2 linked regions of the Arabidopsis thaliana genome follow. The protein of the gene in region 1 interacts with the protein of each later gene in a pairwise test. Each region holds a gene or a part of one and is shown on either strand. Other genes may lie near its edges.

Region 1 (6,378 bases):
TTACATACCATAAGAAACATGGCACCGATCGTGTATGCTTTACCCATCATCCTAGCTCTCTAATTTGCTCTTCTCGATACAATTTGGAGTCCACTGGTGGTGAGTCCTCCTTTTCTCTTGCTTGAGATTGGATAATCAAAGCGGTGGTGGATTATTACTTACTTGTATACTTGTTTTTGTGTACCAGAATCCTTGAGATATCTCTCAATGTATGATAATCGGATCCTACGCTACTTTAAAGGGCATAAAGACAGGTCTGCTTATAACCTCTGGAATTGTGAATTTGGATTTTACTAGTATGTACATTGATGATGGAAAATGTTCTTCTGTTTCAGGGTTGTATCACTTTGTATGTCTCCTATAAATGATAGCTTCATGTCTGGTTCTCTCGACCGAAGTGTTAGACTCTGGGATCTTCGTGTAAATGCCTGCCAGGTTGGTTTCTATAGTTTTACACTCTGAGAAGGCTAGATGGAATAAGTCTTAATATGCTAGAGTTTTAATGAGAAAAGTGCCTTTTTCTTTTTGTTAGCAAAAACCTCGTGATATATCACCTTGAAAGTTAAACTTGATGAAGATGCTGGAACCACGAAACATTGAGAATATTTAGGCTCTTTACCTTAATACTCTCTCTGTGAATTTATATGGTTTCATGATCTATGCTTACCCTTTTAGTCAATAGGGAATTCTACATCTACGTGGTAGACCTGCAGTTGCGTATGACCAACAAGGCCTTGTGTTTGCAATTGCAATGGAAGGAGGTGCTGTTAAATTATTTGATTCCAGGTGTTATGACAAGGTTAGCTTCTTACAATGATTCACACAGCCTTACGCATGACTGCTCTTGTTAGTTCTAACTTCTAAACCCAATTGATCTCTTATGTAGGGTCCCTTTGACACATTTCTGGTGGGTGGGGATACTGCTGAGGTTAACGATATAAAATTCAGCAACGATGGGAAATCCATGCTCCTAACGACTACAAATAACAATATCTACGTTCTTGATGCATATCGTGGAGAGAAGGTAATCACGTTCTCTATCTTTCACCTGAAGAAGACAGAACGTTAGGTTTCAAGTTGGTAAAAGACGGTATGTTATTTTGCAGAAATGTGGTTTTAGTTTGGAGCCTTCACAGGGTACACCCATAGAGGCCACCTTCACACCAGATGGCAAGTATGTTCTGTCAGGTAATACGCGTTCCTAGATGATCTTTTATCATGACTCATCTACACAATATTCAAATTTAATCAGCTTAGTTTTCTTTTTCGGATACAGGTTCAGGTGATGGAACCTTACATGCGTGGAACATCGAGAACCCATCTGAGGTAAAGTGCAGAATAATCAACACCACTAGGACACTGATTCACTTAAAAGTGATGAATAATTTATAAAGTTGTAGATACTATTTTTGCGTTATGCTTTCACAGTATTTAAATTTTAGTGGGGATTTTGTGTAAAAAGCAGGTGGCGAGGTGGGAGAACAACATAGGAGTAGTGTCGTGTCTGAAATGGGCACCACGTAGAGCCATGTTCGTTGCTGCTTCTACGGTTCTCACATTCTGGATCCCAAACGACGGTGAATCACCAGCCCCCGCCGATCCTCCTACCGATCAACAACAGTGACGACATATATGTTTCCATTATGCACTTGTGTATCGTTTTTTAATGTTGACAATTAGAAAAATTTGGAAGCAGTAGTATGTTAATCAAATTTAGAGTTTATGAATTTGAGTCTAGATGGTTACAATATGTTTTCTTTAATGACTATTTACTCTTATTTTACGTAAAAAAGATATGGATGAATACATACATCAATGTTCACGTAAACTGGAAAAGATTTCACGAACCATGATCCTAATAAAAAACCCAGAAGAACAAACAACAATGAGCATATTGGGCCTTAAAAGCCCATGGTATAATAAACCTGAGAAGAAGTCAAATAGGTCATAAGAAGCCCATTATATCGTCCTCTTGTACCCCGACTTTTAACAAATCGTTTTGGCTAAAACCCTAATTCTCTGTCTCTCTTTTTCCTCTCCGCGTCTCTCGTTCCTTCTCTGGTGGCGTTTTCACCATGCCGAAGCATTACAGACCAACGGTGAGTGTTTCTCTTTGATTGAAGCTCTATTCTCCCCAATATTCGTTGTTCAACAACTGTTGTAATCTATTTTCGTCTTTCCCTTTGCTCGAAAAACTTTGGAGCTGGTTCTTTCTTGTTTCTGAGATGAATTTGGTTATGTTTGTCATTTGTAGGGGAAAAAGAAGGAAGGAAATGCGGCTAGGTATATGACCAGGTCGCAAGCTCTTAAACATCTTCAAGTTAACTTGAATCTATTCAGGTTCACTCTCTTTCTTCTTTATCCTTCAACTTTTCACTGTTTTTCTTCGAGTTATTGTTCGGACAAGCATATGTGTGCACTAGGTTTTTTTCAGATGCTTCGTGTTTTGTCAATTTATCTTAGAATTGATATCGAGATTGTGTTATGTTCCTAGCTAGGTTTTTACTTAGAAATTCTCTGGTTATCAGTAGGTGACTAATTTGTTATTATTGTACCTGCCGATTATGTATTTCAGGAGACTATGTATTGTCAAAGGTATATTTCCCCGAGAACCAAAGAAGAAGATTAAGGGAAACCATCACACTTACTACCATGTCAAGGACATTGCTTTCCTCATGCACGAGCCTCTTCTTGAGAAGTTTAGGGAAATCAAAACATACCAAAAGAAGGTCAAAAAAGCCAAGGCCAAGAAAAACGAGGAGCTTGCACGCCTTCTGCTCACCCGCCAACCTACTTACAAGCTTGATAGATTGATCCGTGAGAGGTTTGCTTGACACACTTGAATTTATTATACAGTTGTGTTTGAACATCCATGAGTTTTAGACTGTTAACTCTCATTTCTATTTATGTTATTAATGTTTAGGTATCCAACATTTATTGATGCACTGCGAGACTTGGATGACTGTCTCACTATGGTTCATCTTTTTGCGGTGTTACCTGCATCAGACAGGGAAAATCTTGAAGTTAAGCGAGTCCACAACTGTCGAAGGTCAGAATCTTATACTTTCTCTTGGACCCTTGTGTCTTGACTTATTGACGGCTTCTTTTAGTTTCATATTTTTAATCTGACTCTGTGCTTCTTTTGTGAATCAGATTGACCCATGAATGGCAAGCTTACATTTCACGTTCTCATGCGTTACGTAAAGTGTTTGTGTCTGTCAAGGGTATTTACTATCAGGTATTGTTTTACTTTATCTTGAGAGCTTATAATGGGATTAGTAGATTACTTCCTCTTTAATGAAACTTTGGTAATATTATCTTGATAGGCTGAAATAGAAGGTCAAAAGATCACTTGGTTGACCCCTCATGCAATCCAACAAGTTTTTACAAATGATGTTGACTTTGGTGTCCTGCTTACCTTCTTGGAATTTTACGAGGTGAGAACTTCTAATATCTATTCATTCCCCCTTTTCCTTAATAATTTAATGTTTGGACTTTTGCTGACAAATTTTCATTCACCTTTTGATGCAGACTCTTCTTGCCTTTATTAACTTCAAGCTTTACCATTCTCTGAATGTTAAATACCCGCCAATCCTTGACTCTCGGTTGGAGGCTTTGGCTGCAGGTACGTTGTCCTCCTCCAAGAAGCAATTATTTTCCTCAAGAGATATCTTTCATATGGGAGTTCATATGTAACCATTAGAACGTGTCACCTATTACTCTGATTAATATATATTTGTTTATGTCTTCAATGTTGCAGATCTCTATGCACTGTCTAGATACATAGATGCCAGCTCCAGAGGCATGGCGGTGGAACCCAAAGTTGATGCTTCATTTAGCTCACAGTCAAATGACCGTGAAGAGTCTGAACTTAGACTTGCACAGCTTCAGCACCAGCTGCCTTCAAGTGAGCCTGGAGCATTGATGCATCTGGTTGCAGATAACAATAAAGAGGTTGAAGAGGATGAAGAAACAAGAGTGTGCAAGTCACTCTTCAAGGATCTGAAGTTTTTCTTGAGCCGTGAGGTATCTTTTTGATTCATTCTTTCTGAGCCACTTCTTATCACTGAATTTTGTTCTAAAATAGTAAATCATTGGCAAATTTTAACTGTTATGGACAAAACATACTCATTTGCTACTAAACTGATTCAGTAATTTACCAAATAAAATGGTAATTTTTCTATAGCCTAAATCTCTGACATGTCTATAATGTTCAAAGACTCTTACTTAAAGACAAACCATTTGTAAGTAACGGCATTTAAAAAAAAAATGATTCTTATACGTACTTAGTGGTGAGGGAACCTAGAACTACTGTGTAGTCCTAACCAAAGTTGTGTCAATGATTGTAAATTGCATTCCATGTTTTGATATTTGGAAGATCTGTGTTCTTGAGTGTCTCCTCACAGTGACCTAGAAGATCATTAAATTGTTTCATGACTGGGGCCTGTCTATTGTATAATAATTTTGTATACTTGTGTAGGTTCCAAGAGAGTCCCTGCAATTGGTGATTACTGCTTTTGGTGGGATGGTGTCTTGGGAAGGAGAAGGTGCACCTTTCAAGGAGGATGATGAGAGTATTACACATCATGTAAGCTATTTAGCTTGATTATTAATATTACGATTGTGTCTAGATAGATAGTCTCAAGAACATACATTATACTTCTGTAGATCATCGATAAGCCAAGCGCTGGCCATTTGTACCTTTCTAGGGTATATGTGCAACCACAGTGGATCTATGACTGTGTGAATGCTCGCATAATCTTGCCAACTGAAAAGTACTTGGTCGGAAGGTAACACACTCGAAGACTTTGCTTATTTCTTTTTTCACTACCATGTTTTGTTTTACTCAGCTGTTTGTATATGTATTGTGTGCTTTTCTACAAGCAGAATTCCACCGCCACACTTGTCACCATTTGTGGACAATGAAGCAGAAGGATACGTTCCTGATTATGCCGAAACCATCAAAAGACTACAGGCAGCAGCAAGAAACGAAGTGCTTCCATTGCCAGGTGTTGGGAAAGAGGATCTTGAAGATCCTCAAAATTTATTGTACGCTGGTGTTATGAGTCGTGCGGAGGAAGCCGAAGCTGCAAAGAACAAGAAGAAGGTTTGACTTTGCTGATATATAAGCAATTCAAGCCTGTCAAACTTTTGTATGCGTTGATTAAGTTGTTAACTTTGTGGGTTATTTTATGTAGATGGCGGCGCAGGAGAAGCAATACCATGAGGAACTGAAGATGGAAATAAATGGAAGTAAGGATGTTGTAGCGCCTGTGTTGGCTGAAGGTGAGGGTGAAGAATCAGTTCCGGATGCTATGCAAATAGCTCAAGAGGACGCTGATATGCCCAAAGTGTTGATGTCCCGTAAGAAGAGGAAGCTCTACGATGCCATGAAGGTATGTACCCATTTACATTTACCATTTTTTTTTTTTTTATATAGTTTCTATAGGTCTGTAAGAGCATAGCAATGAAAGGGTCTCTTAGTGTTTGTAAGTTGATGTTAATTTGGTGTATTGTGAAATGGTATCTGCAGATTTCGCAGTCAAGGAAGAGATCAGGTGTTGAAATAATCGAGCAGCGCAAGAAAAGGTTGAATGATACTCAACCATCATCATGATAACTTGTTTTTATATTTTTGTTTACATTTCTGTTTCTTCAGAAGGCTTTTTCTTAAGTTATGTATCATCATCATTAGTCTTTCGCGACATGTACTTCCAAATTTTTTAAAAAGTTTTGATTTTGATTTTTATACGTCCAACTATACTGAAGTTTTAGACTAAATTTTATGAATCTATTGCGTACGTCTTAACTTTGTTACATGAATAATGTAAGAGTAAGACAATGATTTTCTTAAAGACAACGGCGCTGTACAACATAGAATATCAAAAGTACATTTCAATTTTATAATATTTGATCTCTTTTTTTTCTTGATGCATGAGTACGCCTAAAGAAATAATCTTATCTACCTAATAATTACTAAAAAATGGTAACAATAATAGACTTGAATGGGAATTTTCTAGTTGGAGACGTTCTTACAATTTACAAACTCGGTATCGTTTACAATGTATTTTAGTCAGCAAGTTTATTTGATAACAAGTTGTATATTGTATAGTTTTCGTTGGAAATATATAATTTTAAAAATGTATATACTGTACGTATTTCTGAATTCCATACTTGTAACCGAAGAAAATTTAAGCACTTTTTTCTTACACACATATTCGAACTAGGGACCAATGGGGATAGAAACTTGATCATATTCCTGTCCTAACCAAAAGAGAAGGATGTAAAACATTAAAATAAAAAAATATGTTATTTTCTATTGAAAATTTTGCATTTATAGACGACTAAAATATAAAAAACACACCCAAATATTATTTT
Region 2 (5,643 bases), 380 kb from region 1:
GCATCTTTGGAAAAGCTTAGATAATTGGTGTCTAAAAGCTCTTTTGAAAGAACCTCTATTAGCTCATTCAATATTGGGACCGATGAGATTGATCCAAACCGAGTCGAGATCGAGTTCATCGGTCCCAATATTCAAAACGCTTAGGAAGATATATCCTTATTTCTTGATGGTTTTTGTTTACAACGTTGAACATGTTGGTGATGTAGCTTAAGGTGGAAGGTTCGAAGAGAGGTGGTTGGTTTCAGATGCATTGGCATTGGGGACAGGATTGGGATACTAATTTGAAGCTAACCGGAGAGAGTTTGTCCTATAATGTCACTACAAGTGATAGGAAATGTTTGGGCTTTCATGATGTTGCTCCACCTAATTGGCAGTTCAAACTTCAAACAACCTTACGATGGCAAGATTAACTTTTGATTGGGAATTATTTAATATAGTCCTTTTTTGCCAATGTATTCGATAATTTTCAGCACATGGTTTGGAATTGTATTATTGGGGAACGAAGATAGTAGAGTTTTGTAGTTGATGCTATTTTATTTTTCGGCCAAAGAAAAGCAAACTAATTTAGTATTTAGCACGGCAGACAACATAAGTAAATAGCTCTTGATTTTAAATGGTCGTTATCAGACAATAAAAACAAAATTTGCTTCCCACCAAAAGTATAATTAAGATTTAACATTTCGGAATATGAAGAGTATACAACCTTGAAGACAATAAGCTCTATTCAGCAGAACTTACAACAGTCTCATTCCAGGATCATGAATCGTTTGTGTTTCTGAGTAAGAAAAGAATCGAATTTTCTCAGACATCGTACGGAACTGAGTAAATGTTTCATTGCTCCACATTTCATGTAAGAAAAGAAATGGTCAAAAGATTTCGGATTTCATACCTTTTAAGAAATTGCGATTCCGGAAGAAATTCGCAAGTTAGAGTCTGCTCCTCCGCTGACTACACTCTCTCCTTTCCACCAGTCAGCAGATAAAACCTTTAAAACCAAGTTGTTTTATACCATTTCAGTAACAAGAAGAACTAAAAGAGTAGAAGCTGGAAGATAACATTGTGTTTACTTTACCTTGTCATTGTGTGTATCAATTACTGACAAAGGCCACTGCAAAAGGAGGAAGAAGATTAGTTTTTAAAGATAGAAAACCGTGGGTTATAACGGAAAGGAGTGTGTGTGCTTTGTCATTACAGCGGTTCTGAGATCCCAGAGCATGATTTTGCCGTCGTAGGAAGCGGAGAGCAAGTGAAACCAAGAGCTTTTGTGCCACTTACAGGCGGAAATCCATGATGAGTGTGAAGAGAACTGAAACACGGGAGCGGATGTTCCTACAGAGTAAATGAAGACAGTTTATCAACTGTGTAATAAAAAACCGGTCTGGTTATATTGACTTGGTGTGTGTTCATATGGATCTATCACCTGGCTTACGAGGATCCCATACTCTAAGGATTGGATCTGAGCCACCAGCAGCTATAAGGGCAGAACTTTCACCACCAACATCTACCGTGTTGAGAGCTTTTCCACAGAACTACAATTTCACAGAAACAAACCGGCTTTAAGTTTCCGGCGAAAACAACTTCAAAAGCACTGATTTTTCGGCAACAACATGTCTGGTGTGTGCCCTAATATTTACGAAAGAAAAGGAGAGAGAGAAGGCATACCAAGTTCAAAGAATCTTTCCCTGTCTCAACATCCCATCTCCTAACGGAATGGTCCCACGAAGAGGAATAAATTACATCATGCTCTGGCCAAACAACTGATGATACACACTGTGTGTGTCCAACCAAAGAAGTCACTGCCTCTCCCTGTAAGAAGTTCAATATCGTAATTGATATCAGACACTTGGAACTCAGAAAAACACAACTGGGAGTACATTTCTCTATTTTGATTTGAAGAGTAGATAGTACGTTTCAAAAGAATGCATATTATCCGGTACCTCTGACTGAGATTCCTCGGCCTGATTATTTCCTTTTCTTTTCTTTACTGATACTGACTCCCCTTCTGAAGTAGATTCATTTGTGTTCCATAAATTGATGGTGCAATCCCATGAACTCGAGCAAACCTAAATTCCATTATACAACAAAAAAAGGGGGTCAGCTTAGCTCGAAGAAATATAGCAACAAAATTATACTTGCAAAACACAAGTTAAGTGAAAGGAGTAACAGCAAACCATGTTTCCGGATTTCTGAGCTGAAACACTTTGAACTGACGCCTTGTGTCCACGCAATATCTTGTATGCCCTTACTTTCGTAGTAGAGTCAACAGACTCAGCTGGATCAAACTTCAGACAGGGAGAGATATCTTTACTTAGACGTAAAATAAACCTTTGGTTTTAAGTATGATATCTCATCCGTGATTACCTTAAACAATCTCAATGTCCGATCTTTAGAGGCAGTGGCTACAGTAACAGTTTCTGCATCTGGATGCACAAATCAACACAAAGAAAAACAAAGAATTGATCAATGAGCCAAAAAAGGGAAAATTTATTCTTGTTAGTATCATTTGCTAGTACAGAACAGGCATAGTATAGATTTCTCATGCGATGGTCATACCGTTGGAATTAACTAAAGCAACAGAGGAGATAGCCCCGGAGTGGCCTTCTAATATGTGTGAACACGATCCAGCCGAACTCCATACCCTGATCAGAAGAAAAACCAAGTAATCTAAGATTCTTGCAAATTTTGAAAGCAATACAAAAGGATAGAAAATAATCAAAAGCATATAAGATTAAATAAATAAGTCAAATGATCACCTTCCTAATCCGTCATAGCACCCAGTCAAAATGAACCTGCAAATAACAACAGCGAGATCAAGAGAACCACTAACACAATCATTAAAACCAAGAACAAATGACTATATTCATCCTTAGATATCATCCGGATCACTGGATGGCCTTGAATTGGAACAAATGAAGACTAATTCTAACAACATATGATATGGCAGTCGAATATATTAAACAAAGATACAGGTCTATGATTTTCCATATGGCAAGGTGGTTGTGCGTAAAAATGAATAAGAGTTTTTAATTCAAATTACTGGTGTCACAGAAGAAATAGTAAAAGACATCTAGCAGCTTAAAGGAAATTCTACATCATAAAGTAATGCAGTAGGAAAAAATATTACCTGGGAGAAGAACCATTAACCGCACTGACCCAATCATCATGCAAGGAGGGTTCTTCTTCCTTCCGTGGTGTCACAGCCCTTATGTATTCGATTTCAAGAGTACGCTCCTGTAAGAACCAATGAACTTAATTAAGTATATGTTTCCAAGATAAAGCACTATGGACTAATTCCAAGTACACTAGCTGGTGTGAATAGTGGAAGATTAAGATGAAACACATTACCGCCGATATTCCCTTTGCAAGAAGAAACTCTTCGAGTGACATCCGAATAAGCTCCCCATCAATAAGGAAATCAAACGGCTCAGTTTTCCACTCTGGATTCTCTGTTCATCCAAAAAGTCTCAGTGATGAATATTGCATAATCACAGGTAGAACAATAATATATGCTTTTATGTAAGCTCTCTAATTCATAAGTACAAACAAGTTCCTAAGCAGACCTAACAAACTCTCGTATGAGAAAGAGACCACTATTCCAAGTAACACTTAGGATTTGACAAATTTAAAGACAAAGACGAATAAATACTAGCATTCGAAACTGCAGGGAGAGATGGAGAGAAAAGGCTACCGGATTCGATAATAGAATTGACGATGGAAGAGAGGCCGAGACGAGTGACATTAGAAGGGATTGCGACGGAGTTGACCGGAACTTTGAAGGGAGAGTCAAGCTTCGTCACGAACTTAACGTGAAGTCTTCTAGATACATCTTCTCCGTCGATATCCATTTTAGCCTCTTAACTTCTCCGATGGCCTGTTACTGAGCAAAAAGAAGACGCGGAGATAAATTAGGGTTCTGCCTTGAGGCGATGAAGTGTGGAAATTTCACCCAGGCACAGGGTTTAAGGAAATTTAAAATTACGGAATTGACCTCCTTTTCCGGTTTAGATCATACCGAGGCTACTCAAACCAGAGAAATATGTGGTTCGACGAGTGAGAAGAGATCAATTTTGGGCCCAAAGCATTTGGATCTTTAAGATGGGCCGGCTCAGGCCTCTGTTTATACTTTTATATAAACCAAACCAAACCAAACCAAAGAAAATTGAAATAATCAAACTGAACCGAGTAAAATATTTTTCTTATCTTTTATATAAACACTAGATAAGGCCCGCCTATTTAGGCGGGTGTACCGAAAATTTTCAAATACTTGAACGGGTCTAAACTTCAAAACCCGAAAAACTCGAACCCGAACCCGAATAGATATCCAAACATATTTCAAATATAAGTATATATTAGTTATATTTATACTTATATATAGAAAATATTAGGATTATTTGGATATTTTAGTTATTTTTGTGTCATTTTAGATATATTCAAGCAAAACTACTCGTGTTGTTTTGGGAATTTTTGAAATTTTCAAGTAATTTAATAGATTTGCACACAAAATTTGATATTTCAATATATAAATAAACTCGAATCCGAACCCGAACCCGACCCGGAATCTTAAATTACCCGAACGGGTCCTAAACTTCTAAACCCGAAAACCCTAACCCGAAATACCCGACCTGAATACCCAAACGCCCAGGGCTAATAATTAATAGAAAAAAGAAATCCACAAAAAAATTTAGAAACCAAACATTGTTAAAAAATATATTTTCTATATATGGCGTAATCTCGTAAGTTAATTTTACATCATGCAAATTAATATTAAATGAGTTAAAGTTAATAAATGAAAATAATTGAAAAGTTAAATCCTGTAAGCTAAACTATTTTTCTCAAAATGTTTTATTTTCACTTATGATTACATGAGTTAAAGACAAATTTGTTAATTTTCTTTTTGTTGAATAAATGTCCCGAAACCTTAAATTACCCGAACGGGTCCTAAACTTCTAAACCCGAAAACCCGAACCCTAAATACCCGACCCGAAAACCCAAACGCCTAGGGCTAATAATTAATATAAAAAAAATCCACAAAAATATTTAGAAACCAAACATTGTTGAAAATATATTTTCTATATATGCCGTAATCTCGTAAGTTAATTTTACATCATGCAAATTAATATTAAATGAGTTAAAATTAATAAATAAAAATAATTGAAAAGTTAAGTCCTGTAAGCTAAGCTATTTTTCTCAAAATGTTCTATTTTCACTTATGATTACATGAGTTAAAGACAAATTTGTTAATTTTCCTTTTGTTGAATAAATGTTAATTGTTTATAAATATATAGACATATAAATTAGTATATGTAAATTTGTTTACTTTTTAAGATTTTCTATTTTTTTAGAGAATTAAAAAGTTAAATTTTGAATGACACATGTAAACATCTGATCGTTTGACTTGACACGTGGCACAATCCTATGAGTTAGCAACTTTGAAAACCATACTTTATATAATAAAATCACCAAATTTATTTTCTTGTTGATTAGTACATGTATTTAAGTTTTTAACCCATACTAATGACTTTTGTTTTTTTCCTTCTCGAGATTACTTACTTTTTGCTAAAAGTGGTGGAGTGGTCAATTTTGTTTTTTTGGTAAAAGAGTGGTGGTCAAACTTTGTTAACTACGAACTATTTTTGCTTACAT

What was found.
Region 2: the proteins of AT5G14520 (region 1) and AT5G15550 interact in a two-hybrid assay, tested with the Arabidopsis thaliana proteins (one study listed by BioGRID).

The regions. Positions count from the first base shown.
Region 1 is NC_003076.8:4,680,028-4,686,405, reverse strand, and holds AT5G14520 (pescadillo-like protein), read left to right. Parts: upstream 1-1,933; 5' UTR 1,934-2,075; coding exon 2,076-2,099; intron 2,100-2,254; coding exon 2,255-2,340; intron 2,341-2,575; coding exon 2,576-2,824; intron 2,825-2,923; coding exon 2,924-3,049; intron 3,050-3,153; coding exon 3,154-3,238; intron 3,239-3,326; coding exon 3,327-3,437; intron 3,438-3,531; coding exon 3,532-3,625; intron 3,626-3,760; coding exon 3,761-4,026; intron 4,027-4,480; coding exon 4,481-4,588; intron 4,589-4,668; coding exon 4,669-4,790; intron 4,791-4,887; coding exon 4,888-5,107; intron 5,108-5,198; coding exon 5,199-5,396; intron 5,397-5,533; coding exon 5,534-5,617; 3' UTR 5,618-5,866; downstream 5,867-6,378. Other genes in the region: AT5G14530 (Transducin/WD40 repeat-like superfamily protein), read left to right, coding at 1-99, 188-254, 336-435, 683-799, 887-1,024, 1,107-1,188, 1,277-1,326, 1,466-1,624. UniProt on the Arabidopsis thaliana protein: Required for maturation of ribosomal RNAs and formation of the large ribosomal subunit. Plays an essential role in cell growth and survival through its regulation of ribosome biogenesis and mitotic progression.
Region 2 is NC_003076.8:5,058,159-5,063,801, forward strand, and holds AT5G15550 (Transducin/WD40 repeat-like superfamily protein), read right to left. Parts: upstream 3,987-5,643; 5' UTR 3,846-3,986; coding exon 3,689-3,845; intron 3,447-3,688; coding exon 3,346-3,446; intron 3,232-3,345; coding exon 3,125-3,231; intron 2,790-3,124; coding exon 2,754-2,789; intron 2,640-2,753; coding exon 2,554-2,639; intron 2,421-2,553; coding exon 2,362-2,420; intron 2,283-2,361; coding exon 2,172-2,282; intron 2,064-2,171; coding exon 1,938-2,063; intron 1,807-1,937; coding exon 1,663-1,806; intron 1,530-1,662; coding exon 1,421-1,529; intron 1,330-1,420; coding exon 1,193-1,329; coding exon of another isoform or gene 1,157-1,192; exon of another isoform or gene 1,109-1,156; coding exon 1,073-1,108; intron 986-1,072; coding exon 893-985; 3' UTR 890-892; exon of another isoform or gene 776-889; 3' UTR 541-775; downstream 1-540. UniProt on the Arabidopsis thaliana protein: Required for maturation of ribosomal RNAs and formation of the large ribosomal subunit.